2 linked regions of the Caenorhabditis elegans genome follow. The protein of the gene in region 2 interacts with the protein of the main gene of each other region in a biochemical or structural test. Each region holds a gene or a part of one and is shown on either strand. Other genes may lie near its edges.

Region 1 (5,264 bases), on a different chromosome or scaffold from region 2:
GGAAATGTATATAATAATTGCAACTTGTATGAACCAAAAATCCAAACTCTGAGTTTTTGTGATTTGATTTTCAATTGAATTGTAATTTTTTAGAAAAAGTTTTATGAGAAAAGTGAGATATCTAAAGTGATAAATGTTTTTGATAGACCTCTACTCAAATATGGATCAGCGTAGAAATCAATTTCAAAACAAAAAATCTGCCCTACAAAAAGTATTATTGTGTTTTTCTAGAAATCATGGTCTTCAATAAATTTCGCTTTGGATTATTTCTACAGACTTTGAAATAAGCAAATATAAAAAGTAAAAAAAAACACCAAGGAAAGAAAACTCACCTTCGATTTTTTTCGCGGGCGTGTCATAAAAACTCTGTTTTGTAACCGTAATCCAATTATTATTCGGAAATAAAAAAATTCTCGGCAGTTCAGAATAGGCAAACAAAGTAAAAAATTGATTTTTTAAAAAAAAGTTTTTAATGAAAAATAACTTTTAAAAGTTTCAATTCAGCCAAAGTTGGTACATGCCTATTTGTTGAAATAATAAAAATTGAAAAAAAAATCTTATTGTTAATAGAAAAAAAAAAATATTGCACCTGTTAAATGAAAAGAAGCGGAGAAATATGAAAGCGAGATGAATGTCTTAACTAGACAAGGAAAACGACAAAATATGCTGATATGTGGTGTGAGTATTCTTTGGAGCGGAAGGAAGAAAAGAAGAAGAAGACGAAGAGAGGAATAAAAATTAAAAGTTCAAATAATCATTTACTCGAAGATAGTTATTATTTCGTACATCTTGTATAATGAGAAAAAAGAAAAGTACAAAAAAATTCAGAAAATGAAACACCAAAAAAAAAGGCAAGATATGGGAGGAGCATATTTTAAGAAAATACTTATTATCAAAATTGTTTTTCTAACAATTGTGTGATGCATGTATTAGACTCCGCCCATATCTTGGTTATGTATCGTGTTTTTGCATGTTCGTACTTGACTTCTACATAGTTCCAAATACGAATAAACGCAGAAACCAACACATAAAAAAATCATTTTTTGTTGAAAATAACCGTGACTCAAGAAGTTTCAGGTAAGAAGAGTGTTAGGAGATCGATGATTGTCGATTCGGCAGCAGCTGATTTTTCAATATCCGCATTCGAAAAAAAGTGAGACGTCACTACTTGGACTATTTTTAATTGATTATTCAGTTAGCTAAGTACGTCGAAATTTCAGGTTCATTAATTGAAAAATCATAAGGTTCACAAACATTGGAATCAGAGTGCTCCGCCAGTCATACTTTTGGCTATTTTCGTCGATTACCCTAGTTTAATAGAATTTTCGAATTTTTGGCTATTTTTGGCTATATTTTGCTATAATAAAATGAACAACAAAATTTCACGAAAAAATGATTGAAAACGAGTGAAATCAACGAAACTGAATGAAAATTTTGGAAAAATAATACATTTACGTATTTTCCGCAAATACCTAACGAGACCCAAATTATCGGGGCGGAGTCTTTCTATTTGGCGTTGGAGCGCGATTGCATTCTGATTTCAAAAGATGCGTTATTCACAAGTGAAAAATGAAACTTTAATTTTCTTAATCAGACAAAAAATGTGAGATTTTTGAAGAAATCGGAGAAAACGGTTCAGCAATTAGCATGAGTTCTCAAATAAAAATGTGTTCTCAGAAATCTCGAAAGAAAATAAAAAAATTAGAAAATTCTAGTTGTATAACTAAATTATAGCCAAAGTACCACATCATCGAAACCTATAATTACACCGCCCGCGCTTAATCGGTAAAAGTTCCCTGTAATTTAAAAATTTAATTTAATTTTTTGTTGTCCAGAATGACATCTTGTGAAATATGCTTTGTTTGAGAAAAACAACTTTTTGAAAATGTCCCCGCACCACTTACTGAAAAAATTATAAGTTTTCGAGGACTTAAAAAGGGCACAAGAAGTGCTTGAAATTGTTGGAGCACGTGAATTTCAAAAACCTCATGTTTTGAAATTTCAAGTGTACTCAGTACTAAGCTTAGTTGTTATTTTTCCTTTTGGGACTATAAAGTCGCACGGTGTGATAAAATAATCCTAAAGAAAATCGAAATTTTCTTGTCGCTTTTAAATTTTATTTTTTTTTTTTTCTCAAAAATCTAAAAATGCAAATGAACCTCAACGAAAAGAAGCAGCTGCTCCGAGTGCGAGTCTACGCGACATCTGAAAAAGGAGAAAATCTCGGGAGGTACTAATTGAGTTGTTGTAGATATATTGAGAAAGATGGAGAACGAGAAAAGAAAATAAATTTATGTTGAATGAATGGGGTTAGACGATTGGGAATAATAGAGTTCGCGAAACAAAAACTACATGAAAAATTGGTTGACAAGTTATTTCACTTTTTAAAATTTCTAGTAAATGTGATGAGATCCTTTATTTGACAGACAGACGAGATGATTGAAAGAAGGACGGGAAAATCAGTAGTTGATCAGTGATTCCGAAGACTTGCTTCTTTTTCAATCTTTTGCTGCTTCTCAGCTCTAATTTTTGCCTCCATCATTCCCTGGATCCAGTAGTGTTCCTTCACCTGTAATAATTTAATGAATTATGATAATTAAGAACACTACAAAAGTGTACTTCTGTGTGCTGATAATATGTTGGCCACTAAGCTGAAATCAATAACAAACCTGTTCAAGCGTACAGCGAGCCTTGGGATCAACGACAAGCAATCTTCCAATCAAATCTCGTGCACCCTTCTTCACAGAATCAGGGTAAGTAAACCGTGCCGCTTTGATTGCCGCATATGTCTTGGACTGATCTTCGTGCTCGAATGGGGGTTTTCCAACGAGAAACTCATAGCAGAGAACGCCGATTGCCCATAAGTCAACTGCGTCACTGTGATCGGCTCCATTCACCATTTCAGGAGGGAGATAGTCCATTGTTCCGCACATTGTTTGGCGCCTGAAAACATGACAGTGAATTTTTGGAAACATCTAGATTTCCTAAATTTGAGGATAAACTCACTTATTCGAAGGAGCATGAACACTCCATCCAAAATCTCCAATTTTCAATTCTCCTTGTGATCCGATAAGCAAATTCTCCGGTTTAATGTCGCGATGAATCACATTTTTCCTGTGGCAATATGACAAAGCATCTGCGATCTCATACATATATTTTGCAGCTGTTGGCTCTGAGAATCTCTTGCTCACTGTCAATTGCTTGTACATTTCGCCTCCGGGGGCATATTCCAAAACGAGATAGATCTTCTTCGCATCCCAAAAATATGTGTAGAGCTTGATAATATTCGGGTGATTCAAATGAGATTGAATCTCAATTTCACGCTCCAATTGATGCTCGACGCCTCCTGAGATGAGTTGCGATTTGAATAGAACCTGAAAATATGTATGGGTAAAACGGATGTCAGAAAAATGATAATTCAAATAAATACAAAATAAATCAATATGTTACCTTGATCGCTACATGGAAATGTCCAGTTTTTGTGCGAGCCAGGTAAACACTGCCGAATTTTCCTTTTCCCAGTGGTCTTCCGATCTCGAAATCGTTAATAGTAAATTTTCTGTAAAATCAAGAATAATTTATAAACTTTTAAAACCTTGATTTCTTACCCTCCCTTCTGTGGAGTATTCACAGTTTCCTTCTCTGGAAGGTTGATTACAGGTGGCTTATTCTCCATGTCGGAACTGAAAAGTTTTTTATGAAGAAATAAAATAGACGGCACGATTAAGGACAAATTAACTAAAAGAAAACATCACGATAAATTTATAAATTGAATTAATTAGAAGTTCAATGGCCCAATTTTTAATTGAATACATTTAGATATTTATGTAGAATAAAAATAGGACTAATTCTGCTTTGATTTCAAAAAAAAGTGAGAAATCAACACATTACCTGAGTAAATATGTTTACAAAAAACGAGTTTTGATTGCAAATAATTCTAAAGAAACTAAAAATTGTCAGCTGGATAGTAAGGAGAAATGCAAGCCGTTTAAATAAAAAATTAACGCGGCAAAATGCAATGGTCCGCAATATGTCGTCATGTACGGTGTAAATGCGTACTTGGCCCTGTGCCAGGCCCGTTTATCCTGCTTTTTTGTTTGTTTTAAATTAAATTAAATTGTATTTATATATTTTTGTTCTTCTTAAATGTTTTCCTATCAAAACAATCCGTAGAAAATTAAGATTCAACTAGAAAATTTCAGTACTCATTGGACTATGTACGGAGTTCTTGTAATTGGAGCTCCTGGAGCTGGAAAATCTACATTTTGTGCAGGATTAACGGACATTTTCTCACAAACCAAACGACCATTTCTCACTATCAATCTTGATCCTGCTAATGACACAATGGCATACGCACCTGATGTAAATATCACTGTAAGTATTTTATTCCAATGAATATAGGACAATAATTATGAAACGTGGTACAGATCATCTATCAATGTTATTTTAATACTTAAGGTCATATTTTTCATTTAAAATACTAAAGTTTAGGAAATGATCACTGTGAATGATGTAATGGATCGACTTGGACTTGGACCAAATGGAGCTCTCAAATACTGTATTGAAACACTTGGAGCTAATTGTAATTGGCTCCTCCAGGTAATTTTTTTGGCAGAAAAAGTTAATTCTCAAAAGCTAAAAATTGTTTTCACAACAATTGAGCTAAAATCTGGAATTCTCTAAATTTGAATCGAGAAAATCGGAAATCATTTTTAACCTCTTTGTAGTTTTAATATTCAATTAAATCTTTTTTCAGAAAATCGAAGCGAATCACAAGAAATATCTGATAATTGATTGTCCCGGACAGTTGGAACTATACAAAAGCGAAGGCGAACTATGGAAAGTTATCCGCTTTTTGGAAAAATCCGGTGTTAGACTATGTGCCTTACATCTTGCCGATTCACTTTACTGCAGTGACCCATCGAAATTCATTTCTGTTGCATTATCCACATTAGGTAAGAGTTCATTAAGATTAAAAAAAAATTGAAATACTTTTCTTGTCTCTCGACCCGAAATTTCCAAATATAATTCAGCTGATTTCCTCCAAAAAATGAAAATTTATTTTTGTTCTGTACAATTTTGAAACTCCATGGGCCTTTATGTATTTCTGGCTAAGAAATGCAATATCTTTCTGGCACATAAAACTTTCATTTAATCTGAAACCTATTTTTGTTATTTATTTGATTTTAGATGGAAAAAATTGAAATTCGGAACCACTTTAAATTTTGTGTGGCTGAAAGGAACAAATTAAAATTATATTCATT
Region 2 (8,157 bases):
TATTTTCAATCTTCGATTTTTAATTTCTCCATCATATCCGCGTGCTCCGTTAGTAATCTGCTAATTATGATGCATCTGGTAGGTTTATTGAGTCTAACAAAGGTCAATTCCGAAGGGTTGCTCTCTTTCCTCCCTCTCTTTGCCACTTTATCGTTTGTTTGCCGTATGTGCTCTTGTGTTGATGCGTTATTTTCTAAAAATGTGTGAGGCTTTGTGATTTCTATATTTTAAGATTCATGAATATCATCAGCTCGAATAGGGTCCGTTTACACTATATTACGCATTCTTAGGTATCAAATACAGTTTTAATGCACTTTAATTGTATTGCGCGTTGTTCGGTGTCAGATGCAGTTTTAATGTATGAAGTTTAATATTTATTACTTTCTTATTTGAGAAGTGAATTTTTAGTTTTAGTAATGGACTCAAAATGATCTAAAATTTCGAAATTCCACAAAAAAATCAAGAAAGATCCAACTTTCGCTTTGCGGTTCTCATTTTAAAGCGAATTCGAACAATTCGCCGAAATCTTTTTAAAAAATCGGTTTTTTAAAAGTTGGATTTTTCAATCTTTCTCTACTTTTTTTCGTTGTTTCTGATAGTGAATCTGAGACTAATTGTTTTAAAAGCAAAGTCACATGTCACACTCCTCCATTTTTAAATTTCTTCAGGGCTCACAGATAAGTAGATTTTTTTTAATGTGACGTCACACGCGTCCTTGAAATTATGGCGGCACTCGGTACTGGGTACAAAAAAGCATTCAAATATTTTTCCCGCCATTTTTCAAAATATTGGAGTCGCTTTCAAGGTCAGTCACATCTATAAAATGGGCGGAGCTAATACGTTTACATAAATTAGTTTCATTGTGTATCATTTTTTGGAATTATAGGTTTTTACAAATTTTTAAAAAGTTTCTTCCTCGAACCGTCTATAAAAGAATATACAAAAAAAAACATAGAATCGAGCAAAAAAGTTGGCATTGAGAAAAAAATAGGGTAGTAGTAGTGCATTATTCTCTGAAATCAGAGCAGTCTCTAACTTTTCCATCTCGTCTATCTGCACCGTCCGTACGGAGCATGATGTCTCTTGCCTCCTGTTGCGGTCGTCCGGTCCTGAATGGCTACTTGGATGCTGCTGCAACTCCGTCTGCGCCTATTCTTCGCTTCTTCATCTATCGTCTCTCGTTCACTTGCGCTCACTTGCTAAATGATGGCCGATTGCAATGTATAACCTTCGTTGATCATCGTCTCTTCGCTCGTCACGCTCTCTGTTTTTTGTCTCCCACTAGGCCTTTGCCTCCTACTCTCCCAATTCACATTTATACACGACACAAGATGATTTGGCGCCTTTTTTTTTCAAAAAATGTATTTTTTTTGTTTCTACGATCCATCACCCATCGCCGATACAAATTTTTTTCTATTGGAAGTGTATTATAATTTGATTGTAGTTTTAGATTCGACATGCATTTTTTGAAAAAAAAAACTTGCTTCGCTTTTTTTTTAAAAAAGAGTTTCGTTTTCACTGTTCTCTTCTTCTTTTCGAAATACTCCGTAGTTTTCCTCTCAAAAATTTTCATTCGCTAACTCTACAGTACCACAATTTCAAATCGCATAGTTTCGCGCGCGCGCAGGTCTCGCCACGAACACAGTTAGTGAAGAGTCTCATGCAAAAACAAGCACATATAGTTCATTTTGTCTACCGCCCCAAGAGTCGTTGTTTTCGATTTTTTTTGCGTCGTCTCTTCTACTTTTTCATTCCTCGATCAAAAGAGAAGAAGTGTGGGTTTCTGTGACGCAGGAGGAGATGGCATTGTTGGCCGTATGTTCCTTATGATTTGTATCGATTAGTGTGTGTATGTGTGTGAAAGCAGTCAATGAAACAACGTTGCCCTCTAGGCCCCGCCCATTTTGCCCTGTCGTTATTTATTGTCCATCGTGTTACTTTCCTAGTTAATAATCATGTTTCAGTGATGACGGAGGTTTGAATAATAGTTATTTTAAAACATTTGAATTTAACTGACGTACTTATAATTTCAAAGAGAGTAGATTTTGCGGATTGTTTGTTGAATAAATAAAAAAAATGGCCCAAAATTCTCTCAAAAATAAAAAAAAATGTTATGCACGAGAGAAAATTCGAAAAAAAGGAGCCAGATTTTTGAACATTTTTCCGTTAAAATTTTTTCAAAATTCTGTTTTTTGAGACAGTTTTAGTCAATTTGAGTGAAAAATCTCCACGAACTACTCCTAATTGAAATTTCAATTCCATTTTGTTGACAGTTAACTTTATTTTAAACGTATTATTTATTTTTCTCTTCTTTGTTTCTCAATAGTCATAAATAAAACAAATTTTTATCGGTCGGAAAAAAGTTGATAAGTGATGATTTCGATGGCTTTAGAAATGGAGTGCCAAACACGCGAAGAAAAAGATGTTCTCGTGGTCGCCCCTTCCTCCTTCCTTCCGTCGGTTTCTATCCGTTTCTCCTCATTTGTTATCATCTTTTTCAGTTAAATTTGTGAGCGCAAAGCGGCAAGAAGTTGATGTCCTTCGACACCGCGCTCTCCGTTCTTCATCTTCACCACTCTGTGCCTCTTTTTTCTATGTTTCTCTTCGTCTTACACGCTCTCTCACTCTCACCTCGCCGGGCACTACGTACAGATGGTTCTTTTTTGTCCCGTTCGCTATTTCATTTTTTGTATATTTGAAAAAATCTATTTAACGTTTTCCACAATTTAAATTGTTCTATATTTTTCTTTAAAACTTTTTGAATCACATTTTAAATTAGACTATCTTAAGTGCGGGAATTAAATTTCTATAGCAACCGTAATCGTACGTGTCATCTGAATTTCTAGTCAACTACTACGTCGTCTAAGTTTAACGTTTTTGTTTGTGCCACGATAGTCGTTGTGTGGTTCTGCCGCCTTGTTTTTTTTTGGAGGCAAAAAGATTTTTTCTAGATGGGCGATGGGAGGGCACGAGAATACAAAGGTTCTATTGCTATATGGATGATGGTCATGTGACGGAGGAAGTTTTCGCACACTTTCTCTCACATTTGAACTATTTTATACACTTACTTCGAAACATTGATTTTTTAGAACTTCTATTAAAATTATATTGAGTAGTTTCCAAAATAAAAGTGGCACTGTTTCCTATTTATTATCAATTTTTCTTTAATGTTTTACTTTTTTCGAAATTTTGAAATGACAGAGTTTCTGCGTGATGGTGGTGAACATCGGCCGCGGCCACGACCGCGACGCAGCTGCGAGCGGACCGGTTCAAACAAAAAAGTTTGTTTTATTTTGTTTTTCGCCCAGACCGCATGATTTATCATGAAAATTAAAAATTGCGTGTTTTCAATTAAAAAATATAATTTTTTTGAGCCGCTCCTCTCGCAGCTGTGTCGCGGCAGAGGTTCACACCCCACTTGCAGAAAGTCTATCATTTCAAAATATATGAAACTGTGAAAGTCCATCTGTTTGCACAATCTTTGTTTCTTTTTTGTCCTTCTTCCTCTCAAAATTGTTTAAATGATTTTTTTAACAAATTCAATTTTTTTCAGAACCTCCTCGGATCGAATCGTTAATCAAGAAAGACTCTCTTCTTGACAAATTCATCCCATTGGGTTGTGCCTATCGATCTGTCACTGACACCGTCATCGTCGTCTTCACAACAACAATGTCGATGTTGTCAATGGACGGTATCGTCGCAGGAGGCGGAAGCAGCAGTGGTGGCGGAGAACGAAGTTTCGTATTAGAGCAAAAGATGTTCAATACGGGCCCACAGAACAAAGCTTTACCAACGGTATGTTCATTTCATTGATTCACTGCCAATCTATAGTGTTAGTTGTTGACTTGAATTCTACTTTATGTGTGGTACGCGAAGGGAATCGTAAATCATTCGGTGTAGGCGTGATGACTGCACACTCACACTGTCAACCTGTGTGAACCGACACACATGGATCAGGCAATCTCTTCTTTAACCCCACAAAACACTCTTTGACACACAAATAACGCGCACGGACTGACTGCCACGACATTGCATACGCACACGGCGGAGACGCTCACTCCTCTTCCAACACATCCGCACTCACACGCACTCACATTCACTTAAACAACACAAAACGCTAACCAACCGTCGTCGAAAGCGACTCGGTGTTTGGCTTGGCCCCTGGACTGCTTTCTTCTTCTTTCTCCCCATCCCCGTCGTCGTCGGTTGTGAACAGGGCAAACGGCGACGACAATGCGGACGTCGTTGGCTAAACCAATTTTTCTCATTCGGGTCCCTCTTCTTCCGTCAATTCATAAATCTCTCTGTCAATCTCACATTAAACAGTTGCGAGAGGAAAAACCAAATTTGTAGTTTTCGGGTTATGTGTCTTTCAAATTATCGCAGCGTTAGGTTTTTTTTTTTTTTTTTTTTTTAATTTTAATTTTCAGTTCTGAACTTTTTCTTATTCCCCATCCCTCACAGATTCAGTTCACTTCTCGTCATGAACTTCTCAAGAAAACGGATAATTTAGTCATCTCAAAGCTGTCACTCGTTGAGCAATTCTTTCTTCTTTTGCATCACCTCCGAAATTGGAATTCTTGTTTTTTTCTTGGCAATTTTTGCATTGAATCTCCGTTCACTCATGGTTGCTGGCTACTTTGAAGATTCGTCATCTCGTACATTTTAAAAAGATTCCGGAACTTTCTGAGACAACTACCCAAAAATTACAACTCATGGTTTCTCTCACGTTAAAAGCTTTTCCGGATAGCAGCTGCCCCGTACACCTGTCGAGGATGATGGTGATACTGTATTATTGTCAATGACACATGGTCACAAATCATTGCTATTCACCTTGTGAGAAGGACAAAGTGGGAATTTATGGAAAGTATGTGATGATAAGAATTATGTGGGATTGTCGGCTTGATAATTTGTTGGAGAGAAGCAAAAACGAAAAAGAATGCCGATCCCGTTCCTAGTTTTCTGTATATACATTCAATACATGATAGAAACAGCGAGACGATATGATGTTGTCGTTTTCCTATTTATCTCCTCATTCTATCCCAGTCTATCGATTCTAATGTGTATCTATCGGTTTATTTGTGTTCTTTTTGCAGTGTCTCCACCCCCACCTATGATTTCTTCTTCTTTTCTATCCGCACTCTGCGTCTTTTCCATTTTCTTCTTCCTCCTCGTTCGCTGTTGCTGCATGGTTCACGAGTTTTTTTTTGAAAATGACTGCTCTTCACAACATTTATACCAGCTTTCTTGCCTAAAAGGTGTAGAAAATATAACATTAGAACTGTGTCTCTTCATCACAGAAACACACTTCTTCTCGCATTCTCTACGTCTCTTTGCACCTAGTGTACTCGTCTGCGGTCGTTTTCCTTCGTTCGTCCAATGGTTCGTTCATCGGCTTTTCTTTGTTTTTTTCTCTGTCAAACAGATGTATTCTGGAGTGAAGGAAGAGCCTGAAGATGAAAAAGAGTGCTCTTACTCGTCGCCTTAAGCAAAGTAGGGCGCCGGGCGACAACGACGTCTTTATCCATTCTCTATGCTCCGAGTGCGTATTTCGTTTCCGCTCTCATACTCGTGTGGGTCCTAAAGAGGAGGAGCCGTCGCCGAGACATCGCCTTCCTATTCAACACATTTTTTTTGCGTAGCATGGTGTAGCGATGGTGGTTGTTTGGGAGGGGCGGGAAAAGGGTCCGTCTCAGTTGCCCCTCCTGGTGTGTGTGTTTCGACCTCTTCGATTCATTTGCCTCCTCTCTTCGCCGTTTCTTTGCCTCCTCTTCGCTCCTCGTTTCCGACTTGATATATTTCGCTTTATGCGATCGTGTCGCGCGTTTTTTTTCTTTTGCAATCCATTCGGATGGTCATGGTTTTTACAAATAAAAGTTGATATTTTCCACATACAAAGTACTCTCGTCTCCTTTCTACTTCGAACCAACTAACTACCATCATCCATTGCCCGTCATCACATGTGTGTTTACCGTTATCAAACACCAAAGAGGAAGGCCGAATTGCAATATGGTTGGCTTTGCTATGTGCTGCTCCTACCACTGCTCATTTGTTTTGTCGCCCTTCCAATCGATTTGAACACCTCCTCCCCCTTTCATTTTTATTTATATCCTATATAAGGCTCTGATTGTTGGTTGTTTCGACGCACATGTGTTTTCCCTGTTGAGTATAATTAGTTGGCCGGGTGACGTATATGTGAGCCTTTCGGACATCTTCTGCTGTTTGTGTGTATGTGTGTGAAGACATTTAGCTTTTGCTGCCACTCTCAAATAACTACAAATCTGGTTCCCTTTGCTTGGGTTTTGGTTTCACTTTCTATTGGCCCCCGCTCAATACTTCTCTGTTCATGTGGTCGCATCTTGATGTCCCCACCTCGACCGACGCATGCATCGATTCAATTTTGCCTCTATCACGCGCCTACTCCGAATTTCAGCAGCCCGCTGCAACCACTACGGATAATGGCGTGTGCTTCATTGAGGTGTTGAAAGCGCAAACAGCGCTCTTGACAAAAAGGCGGTCTCCTCCTCCTTCTCGTTCCACTCTATACTCTTACTTTCTTTTCGTCTACCCTCCCGTTGCTCCTTTCCGTCTCGATTCCTCGCATGTGCGTTTTTTTTTGTTCTGTCCTCCCTCTTGTGTTGATCCGAACAATTTTCATTTTTTGTGGCGGCGATTTGCGAGAAATATGTCTCCGACTCTGGGGGATTGCATACTCTTCTTCCAACCTTTCGCTTGATGTTTTATATGTTTTATATGTATTCCTCTCCGATCCCTTGCACACCTATAAACTGTAAAACTTTTTCGAATCGATTGCAAATTGAGAAATGATATGTGATGGTGAGATGCGTAGTGCTTTTTTTGTCTTGCTTTCCATGTCATACCGACCACTGTGTTGCTTGCAGCCATCATGATGCGTCGTCTCTGGGTTAGTAGTAGCAGAGTGTGGTGAGAGAGAGAAAAGGGTTGATTTGATGGCGAGATGAGAGTATTCAACACACACGGAAATAAAAGAGGAATATGTAGAAGATGTTGAGTTGTTGGAGGCAGGCGAAACAGAGACATACACAAAACAAAATGATTATTGGACTTTGTGACTGCTCCTGCTGCTGCTCTTTTCTACCTCCACTTCTAGTTCTTCTTCTTTTTTGTCTTTTCATATTCATTTTCCTTTTCGGCTTTGTGTTTTGCTCACTTTTGTTGTTCTTGTTTCTTATTGATTGGGATAAAAATATTGATGATCACCATTAGTAAGATTACAACGTACATAAATGTGCCACCAGTCTGTCGCTTTAGTACTTCTTATCAGTTTTACGAGAGTTTTCTTTTTTTTTCAATTCGAATTTCATAGTAGAAATATGAAACTCTTTCTGCTAAATGAGAGCTAAATAAGTTCACCGGAAAAACTCTGGCGTCCGCGCCATGTCCCTTTTCACGGCTGTCGTCGTCGCCCCGGGATCTCTGATTCTCTCAACTTTTTGTGTGCTCCTTGTGTCCCTCGCCGTCTTGTGTCTCTTGTGATAGCATGTTGTTTATGCGCGCGTTGCACTCATCATCAGAGACAGATTTTAATAGATTTCGTGGCCCGCGTCCCCCCTCTATTGAGCACACTCTCCTCTACTGCTGCTTTTCTGGAGCCGTGTGTGTGTGTGTGCGTCCTCTCCTAATTTGGCATAATATCTAATCCAGGGAACTGACTGGGGGCAATGTTCTTTCTTTTTCCTCACCGCCGCCTTTTCTTTTCTTTTTCTCATCCTCTTCTTCTACTTCTTCCTTGTTTTCCCCTATCCATAGTGTTGTCATCTCCGCTGTCGTCCTCTCTACTTATTCGTCGTTTTCTTCTCCTTTTTTTTGGTTTTGCTGGGTTAGACCAGATGCAGAGTGTATGTATTTGTATGTCTCTCTCATCGCTCTCTTCGTTTTTTGTCATCTCTAGACACTACTGTCGCCTGTTCTCTTTTTCTCTATCGTCATTCGGAGCGTTCATATGTATTTTCTCCCTGTATATAATTTAAAAGTAAGCGCGTTGAGATGGGAGAATGAGATTCCGAGTGGTGGTTCGCTCACGTTTTTTAATGAATCAGGACTTGCTGTTGGTAGTGTAAAATGATTATTGAGATGAGAAAAATAAATAGATAAACTTGTGATGCTTCTTGATTG

The links. Proteins that work in one complex are often made in the same cells at the same time.
Region 1: of the proteins of tlk-1 (region 2) and air-2, one has a biochemical effect on the other in vitro, tested with the Caenorhabditis elegans proteins (one study listed by BioGRID).

The regions. Positions count from the first base shown.
Region 1 is NC_003279.8:5,935,896-5,941,159, reverse strand, and holds air-2 (Aurora/IPL1-related protein kinase 2), read right to left. Parts: upstream 3,684-5,264; 5' UTR 3,677-3,683; coding exon 3,609-3,676; intron 3,560-3,608; coding exon 3,451-3,559; intron 3,375-3,450; coding exon 3,007-3,374; intron 2,944-3,006; coding exon 2,670-2,943; intron 2,570-2,669; coding exon 2,471-2,569; 3' UTR 2,284-2,470; downstream 1-2,283. Other genes in the region: B0207.6 (GPN-loop GTPase 2), read left to right, coding at 4,216-4,374, 4,492-4,599, 4,757-4,955. UniProt on the Caenorhabditis elegans protein: Serine/threonine-protein kinase component of the chromosomal passenger complex (CPC), a complex that acts as a key regulator of chromosome segregation and cytokinesis.
Region 2 is NC_003281.10:9,696,325-9,704,481, forward strand, and holds the start of tlk-1 (Serine/threonine-protein kinase tousled-like 1), read left to right. Parts: upstream 1-3,669; coding exon 3,670-3,795; intron 3,796-8,157. UniProt on the Caenorhabditis elegans protein: Essential for appropriate transcription during embryonic development. May act during transcription elongation to activate the RNA polymerase II large subunit (ama-1) by phosphorylating the Ser-2 residues of the C-terminal domain 7-residue repeats.